3 linked regions of the Canis lupus familiaris genome follow. The protein of the gene in region 1 purifies or fractionates together with the protein of each later gene. This does not show direct contact. Links are inferred from orthologs where the notes say so. Each region holds a gene or a part of one and is shown on either strand. Other genes may lie near its edges.

What was found. The genes of interacting proteins can lie anywhere in the genome.
Region 2: the proteins of CEP290 (region 1) and IQCB1 purify together in Homo sapiens (co-immunoprecipitation; 8 studies listed by BioGRID and IntAct, counting the BioPlex papers as one, with this or other methods). This does not show direct contact. The link is inferred for Canis lupus familiaris from reciprocal best matches to the Homo sapiens genes CEP290 and IQCB1.
Region 3: the proteins of CEP290 (region 1) and CEP97 purify together in Homo sapiens (co-immunoprecipitation; 4 studies listed by BioGRID and IntAct, with this or other methods). This does not show direct contact. The link is inferred for Canis lupus familiaris from reciprocal best matches to the Homo sapiens genes CEP290 and CEP97.

The regions. Positions count from the first base shown.
Region 1 is NC_049236.1:29,559,394-29,562,893, forward strand, and holds part of CEP290 (centrosomal protein of 290 kDa), read right to left. Parts: intron 1,570-3,500; coding exon 1,397-1,569; intron 368-1,396; coding exon 205-367; intron 1-204. UniProt on the Homo sapiens protein: Involved in early and late steps in cilia formation. Its association with CCP110 is required for inhibition of primary cilia formation by CCP110.
Region 2 is NC_049254.1:25,743,839-25,748,070, forward strand, and holds the start of IQCB1 (IQ calmodulin-binding motif-containing protein 1), read right to left. Parts: upstream 2,801-4,232; 5' UTR 2,728-2,800; intron 1-2,727. Other genes in the region: EAF2 (ELL-associated factor 2), read left to right, coding at 3,597-3,702. UniProt on the Homo sapiens protein: Involved in ciliogenesis. The function in an early step in cilia formation depends on its association with CEP290/NPHP6.
Region 3 is NC_049254.1:8,434,857-8,439,118, forward strand, and holds the start of CEP97 (centrosomal protein of 97 kDa), read left to right. Parts: upstream 1-1,462; 5' UTR 1,463-1,997; coding exon of another isoform or gene 1,998-2,073; 5' UTR 2,074-2,199; coding exon of another isoform or gene 2,200-2,204; 5' UTR 2,205-2,500; exon of another isoform or gene 2,501-2,708; intron 2,709-3,756; exon of another isoform or gene 3,757-3,952; intron 3,953-4,262. Other genes in the region: RPL24 (60S ribosomal protein L24), read right to left, coding at 1,352-1,462, 1,998-2,073, 2,200-2,204. UniProt on the Homo sapiens protein: Acts as a key negative regulator of ciliogenesis in collaboration with CCP110 by capping the mother centriole thereby preventing cilia formation. Required for recruitment of CCP110 to the centrosome.

The sequences.
Region 1 (3,500 bases):
GATGCCAGACAGAATAAGCAGTGCTCTAGGCTGGCCCAGTCACCATCCCAACCCCATTAAATCCCTCATCCCACATCAATCACACTGATTTAGAAGGGTTTATCTGGGGGGGAAGAGGGGGAAGCACTCAACTATTTAAAAATAAACAAAACATGGCTTGACAGCTAAGACTGATAAAACTATGGATCTTAAAAAATGACTTACCCACACGCTCCCTCAGTGCTTCATTTTCATCAAGGAAATCATTGATCTTCAACTCAAGTTTATTGATTTCCTTTGTCAATACTTCAATCTCTCGATCTCTTATTTTAATTTGGTTTTTACAATTCTTTATTTCAATAACAGCATCTTCTAAACCATATACTCCCTGAAAAATATCCAATCTAATTTATGTATAATGTGGTTTATTTGAATAAATTATGAAATTCATGATTTTCTTATTAAGTCTGAGGGAAAGTATAGTTATATGTAAGATTTATGTCTTTAAACTGTGCTTTTAAAAAACAAATCCAGTAATAACAACGGAAAATGGAACAGCTGAAACTTTCTAGTATAGCGTTCTATCGACAAAGTGACTCAGAGAATGACATATAAAATACCTAACAAGGGGAGACTGGGTGGGTCAGTGGGTTAAGCATTCAGCTCATTACTGATCTGAGGACTGTGAGATCGATCGAGCCTGCAGCCAGTTCTATGCTGGGCACTGGGCATGGAGCCTGCTTAAGATTCTCTTTCTCCCTCTCCCTTCCATCATCCTACTCAGGCTCTCCCTCTCTTGAAAAATAAATAAATAAAATAAAGGTAGTGAATATTGACTATTATAAGACCATGCTAGATGATTCAGGGGGTATGAAGACAAATCAGATGTTCATACTGTCTCTAGGGAGCTCCTTATCCATCCCTCTCAAAAAAACAAAAAACATTTAACAAAATATAGGAAAGGAATAATAAGAGTGAATCAGTGACACCATTAGTAAGCCATTAGTGGCTTGACTTGGTGGCAATCAGATTTAAAAATACAAAAAGTACAAAGTAAGTACTGTGTGTTGGCACAGTAGGCAGCAAAACTGTCCCTGAAATAGCTTTTAGCAAATAAACGAGTGGTGTCACATGCATATGGTGGCACAATGACACAGATTACAAAGAAACTAAACTTGCTGTTTCACCAAAGCTGATTATCTGAGCAAAAGGTTTTGATCAAATGGTTAGAAAACAATTCTGCTGAAAAGTAAATGCTGCTCAAAGGTCTGAATAGTGTAGTATAAACCAACTAAGATAACCTTTATCATAAAATACTTCTGGAATGTCTTTGAAAGTACAAAGTAAATAGCACAGAACAGTCTGGGAGTGGCAAGAATAATCTAAACTCCCTGATTGACATGATAAAAATACATACCGATTCATAATCTTTTAATCGCTTTAGAGTCTCAACTAGTTCTTTATCCTTTTCCCTAGCATCAGCCTCAGCCAGTTCAGCTGTTCTCTCAGCCTCTTTAGTTTTCTCTTCTAACATTTGAACCTTAGACTGAATTTTCATATAATGAGTCTGTTGGGAAAGAGTTGAAGCACCTACAGGGTAAAAAACAAACAAACAAAACCCATGAATTAATTGAATTGATTACTCATTCCTTTAAATCCCTGATTCCAATACAGGAAGCAAGAAAAGTGGTTCATCACTAAAAAAGTCCCTTTAATATTATAATTTTATATTTGAAAAATAAAATTTGTTTTCATTTTATTGATAGGACAAGCTTAAAAAGTTAACAGAAAACCTTAGCTGAAGGGTTATGGATTATAAAAGATTGCAAAACACTGCTTGATAAAGAAGGATCATTGTGACAAAAAGTACTAGCTATCTGTTCCTAATGTTCAACCTTTGTTGAACTGTAATAGAACAACACAATTTTAGTTGTGGACACGTGGCCATTTGAAATAAAGACTAAATTTCCACTTGTACCCCAGCGGTGTGGTCATGGGGCTAATGGGATATAAGAACAAGCCATGTGTGTATTTCAGGAAATGTTTTTAAGAGAGAGGAGTGAATTTTTTCTCTTTTCTCCTTCCTACTAGCTGGAATATGGATATTACGTCTGGAACTCGACCACTAAGAACACAACATGGATACTACATGTTGAGATAGGCAGGGCAGCAAATTACACGATGTCTGATACACGATTATTTGTGCAGTTATCATACCAACCCCAAACCAGTTGCCTCAACTTTGTTTATATCATGGAAAAATGCATTTCTATCCTGTTTAAACCACTGCTATATTTGATTTTTTCTGTCACTTGCAGCTAAACTTAATAGCTAAAAAAAATCTCTACTTATATTTTACCAAGCTGGTGCTAGACCAAAAAACAATATTCCTTTTATCGACGCAAATCATTCTAACCTACCCTAAGTGTTCTACTGATTTATAGAGCATACACTTACGTGTAGGCATTGGACTAGTGTGGGACAGCACGCATGTTTATAAGAAATGGGCTTCATTCTCTGGAGTGAAAAGCCTAGATGGAGAATGTGAGAGTGTCTACTCTCATTTCTTCAGTGTGGCTCTCCACAATATATTTGTCTGCCTATCCTCCAGCATGTGCTATTTGCCTCTAGCTCCACCTCCTCCACCTTGCTGTTTGGGATGTGGATATGAGGGTAATGCTCCATTTTGGACAAGACAGAGGAGGGCAACATCCTGGGTTGCCTAATTCTACACCATCACACAAGTGAGAAAAATAAACTTCTATCTTGATTTTGCCACCATTTTCCAGATCTCTAGCTCTGACAGCTAAACCTAATTCTAACCAATGAAAAGAAACCACCATCAGTATCATATTTACAAATATAGAGTATATTCTAGGACACACACCTTCTGTGGACTTCATGGATCATATGCCTATGGACTGACTGAAATGTCATTAGACAAGGCCTCTTTCTTATTTGATAGCAGAGATCAACTGCCACTTTTTCTCCTGGTGGCTGGAATATGCAAAACCCATGCTGTCAGGCATGCTTTTAAAAGCAGTTTAACCTACTGTCAAAGTACAATTGTAAATACAGAAATAAGTATAGAAATAAGTATATAAAAATAAGTGTAACAAGTGGGCCTTGCTATTGGCTCAGCAATCATATTCCATTTCCCTGGTCTGTTTATTCTTCTAGATGATCATTTCATACCTTCTCTTTTCTCCTCTCTACTCAAACGTTAACCTGTCCTCCCCTATTCTTTCAGCTGAGAACCTTGCTTCCTATACTGAGAAAAAAGGAGCAATCAGTACAGAAGCTTTACCTGCTCCCACCATCAGGTCATCTCCACAGTCACTGCAGCTGTTCCTACATGCTCCACTTCTTTCCCTGTTATTATGGACAAATTCTTTGTGCTCCTAAGGCCAACTACCCCACTGGAATGCTAGATTCCAGCCCCCTGCCTTTTCAAGGATATTGTTCCAGAAGTTCTCTCTCTCTCTCTCTCTCTCCTGCTTCATCGTATTAATTTTCCTCTT
Region 2 (4,232 bases), on another chromosome or scaffold:
TTCTGGTTTTTCTAACTAGAATACTTTTAAAAGAGCTAGAAACTCCTATAACTTACTGTGACAGCTACGGTACATATTATCTATTATGCACCAAGAGTCAGGAAGTACTAGGTGCTCCACATTCACTCTCTCTGATCTGCACAATAATCCAGGGATAGAAACTGCTTTCTTTTATCTTTTAAAAGAGACACTGGGTGCAGAAAAGAGCTAACATAGACCCGAGACAAGATTGGCCCTGCTGGTGCCTAGGAACTTGGATTTCAGAGGGTTTCCATGATTCCCGAGTAAGAGTGGCTCACTGTGCCCAAAGTGTGTGAAAACAATGTGGTTTATGCAGAATGTCTGTTTCCTTCCAGAAATTTGGAATTCTGGTACTAGGTAGTAGAGGATACCTACATGATCATATTTCAATAAATACCTTTGTCACTGAATCTCCAGTGAGCTTCTATGGTAGACAATACTTCAAACTGTCACAACTCATTATAGAAGAATTAAGTGTGTCAAATGTGAATTCATGGGGAGAAGATTCCTGGAAGTTTACACCAGTTTTCCTTGGGATTTTGCCTCATTTGCCTTTTCTCTGTGTTGATTTTGCTTTGTATCCTTTCACTGTAGTAAATCATAGCCATGGGACTCTTAGGTGGCTCAGCGGTTGAGCGGTCTGCCTTTGGTTTCAGGGCATGATCCTGGAGTCCAGAGATCGGGTCCCACATCGGGCCCCCGCAGGAGTCTGCTTCTTCCTCTGCCTGTCTCTCTGCCTCTCTCTCTCTCATGAATAAATAAATAAATCTTGAAAAAAATCATAGTTATGAATCTGATTATATCTTAAGAACTGTGAGCCTTCCCAATGAATCACTGAACCTGGCGTTGGTCTTGTTGTGTGTTGATCTCCAACACACAACTTGGAAATGAGATGTTAATTATAACATAAATAGAAGCTTGTCTATAAACAGAAGAGTATATAAAATCCATTATTTTAAAGTCAAAAAACGCATCCCAATTTTATTTGCTAAAACTTTTCTGTATGAAAAAGTTTTATATATGTTATACAAACATATGTTGAAAGAAGGGATAAATGCACAAACTTTGGGCATTTCAAAGCTTAATTTCTTGACTCTCTGCTTTCTTCCTTATTACAATATGGAAACCTCAGATTTCTAATTAGTAGTCTTTTTTAAGTAAAATAGGCTTAAAACACAGCTCTTGCCCTCTGGTTAACATACTAAAACACCCGTGAAACATTATCATCATCACCAAACACATGCGTAGGGCACAATGTTGGATGCATGGGTCACAAGAATTTTATATGGGACCAAAGTCCCTGATATTCATGTTCTGTTTGGGAAAGAAAAAAGTATACATGCACATATATACACATATGTGATATAAAATAATTATATAAACTACTTTAAGTGCCAAATAGATAACACAAATGATAAGAAAACAGACCGCATAGTCAGAAAACTGGGCTTCTCTGAATCAGTTTTCTTATCTGTAAACAAATTAGCAATTCCTACTTTCTAGAATAACTAAAGGTTTTGAAAAGAAAGTAGAAACCAAGGATGGTTCTAAAATGTTACCAGAGGGACGCCTGCGTGGCTCAGAGGTTGAGCCTCTGCCTTTGGCTCAGGGCGTGATCCTGGGGTCCCGGGATCGGGTCCCAGGACCGGCTCCCTGCATGAAGCCTGTTTCTCCCTCTGCCTGTGTCCCTGCCTGTCTCTCTGTGTCACTCATGAATAAATAAATAAAATCTTCAAGAAATAAAAAATAAAATAAAAAAATGTTGTCGGACAGTAGGGTTACACATCAATAATGGTAACCATTTGAAGAGCTTTTCCTGTGTGCTGTGAATGGTTTTAAATCCTTTCATGTATTAATTCACTTAACCCTCTCAACAACTCTAAGGAGTAAACACTATTATCCACCCCCCACCCCCCAATTTTAACGATGAGCATACTTTAGTTTGCATGAAGTTACACTGTAAAGTATGAATTCATGCTGCGGTTCAAATACAAAAATTCTGGCTCCAGGGGCAGCCCAGGGGGCCCAGTGGGTTAGCCCCGGAAGGCCGGGGGTGTGATCCTGGGGTCCTGGGATCGAGTCCCATGTCGGGCTCCCTGCATGCAGCCTGCTTCTCCCTCTGCCTGCGTCTCTGCCTCTGTCTCTCATGAATAAATAAATAAAATCTTAAAAAAAAAAAATTTGAAAAGGGGAGAAATCCCTGTGTGGCTCAGCAGTTTAGTGCCTGCCTTCAGCCCAGGGCATGATCCTGGAGACCCGGGGTTGAGTCCCACGTCAGGATCCCTGCGTGAAGCCTGCTTCTCTCCCTCTGCCTCTCTCTCTCTCTCTCCCTCTCTCATGAGTAAATAAATAAAATCTTAAAAAAAAAAAAATTCTGGCTCCAGCACCTGAGCGCTTAATTACAACACTACACAGCCTTCCTAAGTCCTTTCAAGAGTAAAACTGAGACAAGCAGACAGATTGAGGAGCCCTAGTCACCTACTCGCCCAGAACAATAAATCTGCAAATTTGGCTACGGTACAGGTCAAGTAAGGGAGCAGAGCGTAATTACACACTTACCCTGAAAAGCCACCACCCGTTCCGGCAACCGTCTGTAAACTTTCTCCTCACACAACCCTTCCCTCCTCATCTTTATCCTGACACTCATGAACTTTTGACAGAAAAAAAAAAAAAGGCAATTATTTTTCAATTATTAATGCTATTTACCCTGTTGTCACAGCACGAGCTGGGGCCTGAGGCTTGGGGAAGTCGTCTTCCTGGGCCTGCCGTTACTGCCTCCAAAGATCCCTGGGAAGGAAATAAATAAAAGGCTACTTGATGCAACGTGGCTGCCGCTGATCCTAAACGCCGCCGCAGTTCCTAACTCCGAATCTTTTTTTTTTTTTTTTTCCCTTCTCCTTCCTCCCCGTCCCCGGTCGGGACCCTCACAGCACCGGGGACTTTCTCTGAACAGGAGGCGATCCCGAGGTAACGGCGTCGCCGCCGGTGAGGTCCCAGGTCCGAGGCTCCGAGGCAGCGAGCTCCTTCGCTCCGGATCCTCCACCTGCTCCGGCGCCACCAGGCCGCGGGCAACACGCACCGCGGGCCCCCGCTCCCGCCCCTCCCCGGGCCTCAGTTTCCACCACAGATCTCCACAGAAACGGGGCAGACTCTCCCGCTGGGAGCTCCCCGGTGCCGGGACGCTGGGCCCAGGCCTCCCTCTCGCTCCCCGGCCGCCGCCCCGGCCGGCTTACCTCAGCCTCTCTCGGCGTTCCCCCGCCGCAGCTCCCGACTCCCACCACGCACCTCCGCCGCGCGGCCTCCCCGGGACGCCGTGCGTCGCGACGCGGGAAAGGCACCCGGAGGCGGGAGCGGGATCCTGGAGCGGGATCCTGGAGCGGGGCGGGGCGCCCTTCCGGGCAGCCAATCAGCACTCGAGGGGCGCCGGGGGGCGGGGCGGGGGAGGGCGCGCGCGTCCGGCGGGGGGCGGAGTCTGCAGGCCGCCCTGGCGGCCGCAGGTGCAGCTGCTCCGGGACCAGGTGGCCGCTGGAAGCGAGCGCAGGTGGCGGCGGCGAAGCTGGAGCCGGAGAGTCAAGATGAATGCAGCAGCGGGACCGGCGTCCAGGGACCGGCGCGAGCGGGTTCTCAAGTTAGGCGAGAGTTTTGAGAAGCATCCGCGCTGCGCCTTCCACACCGTACGCTGTGAGTGAGGACGGTCCCCGGGAGGAAGGGGGGACTCTGGCCGTGTGGGGAAGTGGAGGCACAAACCTCTCCGGAGTCGTGTTGCCACAGACACCCCCCCTTGCTCTGCTGGGAAATGGGGTGCCCGGCGCTATCCGCTGCCCTGCCTGGAGTCCCGGGCGGTTCGTGGAAGGAGCCGGAGTTGAGCAGCTGTGCGTAAACCCTGTGCAGACAGATTCCAGGGGATCGGGAAGCAGAGAGGGAAACTTTGCGGAGCTGTCCCGGGGTGCTGCCGATGAACGCGCAAATAGTAAGGTGACAGCTGGAAGGGCGCAAAGGACCCACCTTTGTGGAGAGGGGGAGCCAATGCCCTGAGGCTGATAGGGAAATATTCCCTCCCCAGTTCACTTTTACTGTCTCTGGCTGATGAGAGGTCTTGTTTAGTCTGTTCCTTGGGTAGATATTCTTTTTCTTTCTTTCTTTTTTTCGGGGGGCGGGGGTAGATATTCTGAACCATCTCAGTAAACTGCATCTCTTTTGAACCTTTGATT
Region 3 (4,262 bases), on another chromosome or scaffold:
TCCCGGGTCTCCAGGATCGCGCCCTGGGCCAAAGGCAGGCGCCAAACCGCTGCGCCACCCAGGGATCCCATCTCTAACTTTTTCATCACTCCAAATGCCCCATTGCTTCCACTGCCCAGCCTCTAGTAATCTCTACTTTGCCTTTATGAATTTGTCACTATACGCACCCCATAAAGGTGAACTTAAACAATATTTGTACTTCTGTGTCTGGCTTATTTGACTTAGTATGTCTTCAAGGTTTATTATATTGGCTAGTTACCAGCTTCTTAAGGCTGAATAATATTCCATTGTGTGTGTGTAATGTTTTGTTATCCGTTCACCCATGGATAGGCCATTTGGGCTGTTTCCATATTTTGGCTATTGTGAATAACCAGTGCTATAAACACTCGTATATTAGTTATCTGTCTTGGGGCACCTGGATGGTTCAGTCAGTTAAGCATCTATCTGCCTTTGGCTCAGGTCATGATCCCAGGAGCCCTGAGCCCCAGAGTCCCACATTGGCCTCCCTGCTTCTCCCTCTCCTGCTGCCTGTGCTGTCAAAATCATGGTTGTGGAATCAAGTCAAAATCATAACAAGAAAAAAAAAATTATTTGTGTTAGGTTCCTGCTTAGTTTCCTTGGGTATACTCCTATAAGTAGAGTTGCTGGATATAGTTCCATTTAGCTTTTTGAGAAACTGTGAGACCATTTCCAGTGCCTGTACCATCTCACATTCAGCAATGCACCAAAGTTCTGATTTCTCCACACCTTCAGCAACATTGGTAATCTTCCCTTTTCTGGATACGGACTATCCTAATGGGTGTGTCAAATCTAAGTTAGAAATAAATTTCTCCTTCATCTGAGCTCCCACAATACCTACTGGTGTCTTTCACCCAGGTGTTCACTAAAATATTCTGAGCCTTCCTAGACACTAATCCTACTGCCAGAGCACAAAAACCTTTCCTCAAAAGTCTCCATCAAGGTCAAAGAGCGCTTCAAAAAAAACAATCTTGAGAACAAAGCAAGATGCTGAAGATTCCAGTGACAGCCCTTAGAACTAATCCTGTAAACCTTCAAAACCAAGTTACCAGACTACTTAACTTCCACCCACTGGAACCTCTGAATGACTTCTACAGATGTATACTTAATAGGAGTTACCTACTTTGGCAAGCGGATGCTTCTAAATTTCAACTCGACGTTCCCGTGAGCCTGATGTATAAGGAGACGAGCGTACCAGTCGTCTTCGCTTCACTGATGCTTTACAGCCTAAGAGCACTCTCACGTCCTGTCTCCTTTACAATTTTACAGGGCGGCACCTGATGCTCAGTTTAAATTTAAGAGCCCCCCCAAGACCAGACTGCAGTTAACTTACCGACTGTCCCTTTTTGTGCTTTCTTCTGTAGAGGACAGTCCAGTTGATCTGCCGAGGGTTCCTCTTGGAAAGGAAGGCCGACTCGCATTTTGCGTTAAGAAACTGGAAGACCTGCAGGAACACGTCCAAGGCGGTCAGCTCAGCCACTCGACTGAACCAAGCGGGAGGCTGAGCTTGGAACCCTGCAGACTCTCACTTCTACCGCCTCCCTGGCCCAGAGACCAAAAGGCTGTGTGCGGGTCACGGCCGGCAGGAGCGGGTGGCACCCCGAGGCCTTGGGGCATCCGTCCTGCCGACACGGAAGCCGGTGAACCGAAGCTCCCGGGGCAGGGACGGGCGGGGCATCCCGGGAGGCATCCAGCCCGGTCCCTACCCGGGTCCCGAGAGGCCTGGTGCCCCCAGCATAGCCAGGTGCTTGGGCCGTCCGTTCCCCGGGCCGCCGGAGTTCCCAAACTCCTAACCTCCGACCTCGCTCACACTACGTCCAGCCTCGGAAATCGGCTCACTCCGAGGCTTCCTATCCTAACAGCCACTGCACCCGCGGCGCCCGCAACAAGCGCCTCAGGGGCCGGGAGCGAGGGGGGACGTGCACACGCTTAGACCCAACCGGGCCGCTCCCCTCCTAGGGGCGCAAGCGGCCTTTCACCTTCCCGTCGGTCCTGGCGTAGCGCCTGCCATGTCCGGGGTAAATCTTGTACCCACTGAAACTGCACAGCTCGACCCTGTAACAAAAAGCCAAGAGAGCCCGTTAGGGGGGGTGTCGACGGCAAGGGGCAGCCGAGCCCAGGACGTGCGAAGGCGGCTCGGCCCGAGGATGGAAGCGGATTGCGGCCCGGGGTCTTGCTCACTTCATGGCTGCGGCGGCCGGGAAGACGGCGAGACGGCGAAGAGAAGGAGAGCATCATGGGAAGAAGCCTTATAAGCCGGCAGGCCGAGCCCCTCCCCGAGTCCCTTCCGTAACCCCGGCGCTCGGCGATGACGTCAGCCACAGCCGCCTCCTTCCGCTGAAGGCGGAGCCGGCGCGCGGGGCGCGGGGCGCGCGGTCGGTTTCGCGGTCGTGGCGTCTCCTGCGGTCGGGGGTCCTGAGCGTGGTCCTGCCGCGCCGAGTGGGACGTGCACAGCCCGGTGACCGACAGCCAATACCCACAGGTAAAACTTCAAGTCACACAGCTCCGTGCTGCCCCACGAACTTCACCAGCAAAATCAAATTTTAATGGTTTCAGCTTTGGAAAATAGTAATGCCATCTGAAGTGGCTCCCACGCCTTGCACTGATCGGCATTCATGGACTTCTCTTTCTGCGCTAGGGAGTATGCCGGAGCATTTACACGCACTTGTGTAGAGTTTACGAAATCCCCAGTGAGTACGCGCCGAGGCCCTGCGAAGTGACAGCCGCCTGTCTGGGAAGAGGAGGCGTCACCTTCCGCCTATTGCAGCCCGGGGGCAGGTGGTGGAACAGTGAAAGGCAAAGCCCTTGCTCCGAGGCTTGGGAAAGGGAGCCCTGGCCAAGCCCACGGGGGGGGCAGTGCCTCAATAGCTTGAGCCCCGTGACGCTAGAAAGGAGCAGCATGTTGGGGGGTAATGGAAGGAGGCAGTCCTTGAATGGCGTTTTGCAGGATTTGACTAGGAAACAAAAATGCAATGATTGATGCTGCCTGTATAAGCTGCTCCCTCTAAAAAGCATCGGTAAGTGGTAGGTGGAAAGATCTGGAAAGTGCAACGAGGTGGCTGACTGATGTTAAGATGTTGGAAGCTGTACGGTTATGCTGGGACCAGTCTCAAGAATGAGCTCATAGAGGGGCACCTGGCTGCTCAGTCAGTGGAGCGTGTGACTCTTGATTTTGGGAGTGTGAGTTTGAGCCCCACCTTGGGCATAGAGATTACTTAAAAATAAGATCTTAAAAAATAAGAATGAGTTAATAGAGATCAGCGTGGAATCAAAAAGCAAAGGGGAGGGATCCCTGGGTGGCGCAGCGGTTTGGCGCCTGCCTTTGGCCCAGGGCGCTATCCTGGAGACCCGGGATCAAATCCCACGTCGGGCTCCCGGTGCATGGAGCCTGCTTCTCCCTCTGCCTGCGTCTCTGCCTCTCTCTCTCTCTCTCTCTCTCTCTCTCTCTGTGACTATCATAAATAAATAAAATTAAAAAAAAAAAAAAAAGCAAAGGGGAGGAATTTGACATTCCAACCAACTCTTACCAGTTTTTCAGAATACCTGGTTACTTGGAATACATTGTTTAAATACACTATGGGCAGATGGACGCCTCGGGCTCCCATGGCTTGATGAACTTAGCTATGACATTGATACAGCTCTCTTTGTTTATTATTATTATTATTATTATTATTATTATTTGCTCTCTTTGTTTTAAATCACTCCTGATTAAACAGATGTTTGATCATTTGGGAAAAAAAAAAAAAAAAAAAAGAGAAGAAAACGACCTGGCTTCTATAGGCGATAAGGCCCAGCTGGAATGAGTAGAAGATGGGGCCAAGATTTATAAGCAGGAATTTGATCCACAGAACCCCAGGATTTATAGTACCTTCCCAAGCATTTTAGGAAGATTTTATTTCACTGGTCTTCAAAATTAAGTTTGGCCTGAGTAGCTCTGTGGAGGAAAAGCAGAAAACTAGACCTTAAGGATTTTAGGGCTTTTACTCTTTCTTGGAGGGCATTCTTGAGCTGGCATCTTAGGGTTCTTTGTAACACATTGTATATATCACACCTTAAACTATGCTCAAACACTCTTAGAATAAGAAGAAAATATACAGAAGCCTCTAAAAGTATTTTATATACTGTCATAAAACGGCTTCCAACACCATCTATAAATTTCTGGTGACTTTATCCTTACACTCTTATTGATTGATTGATTGATTGATTGATTGTTTGGAGCCTAATGCGGGGTTTGAACTCACAAC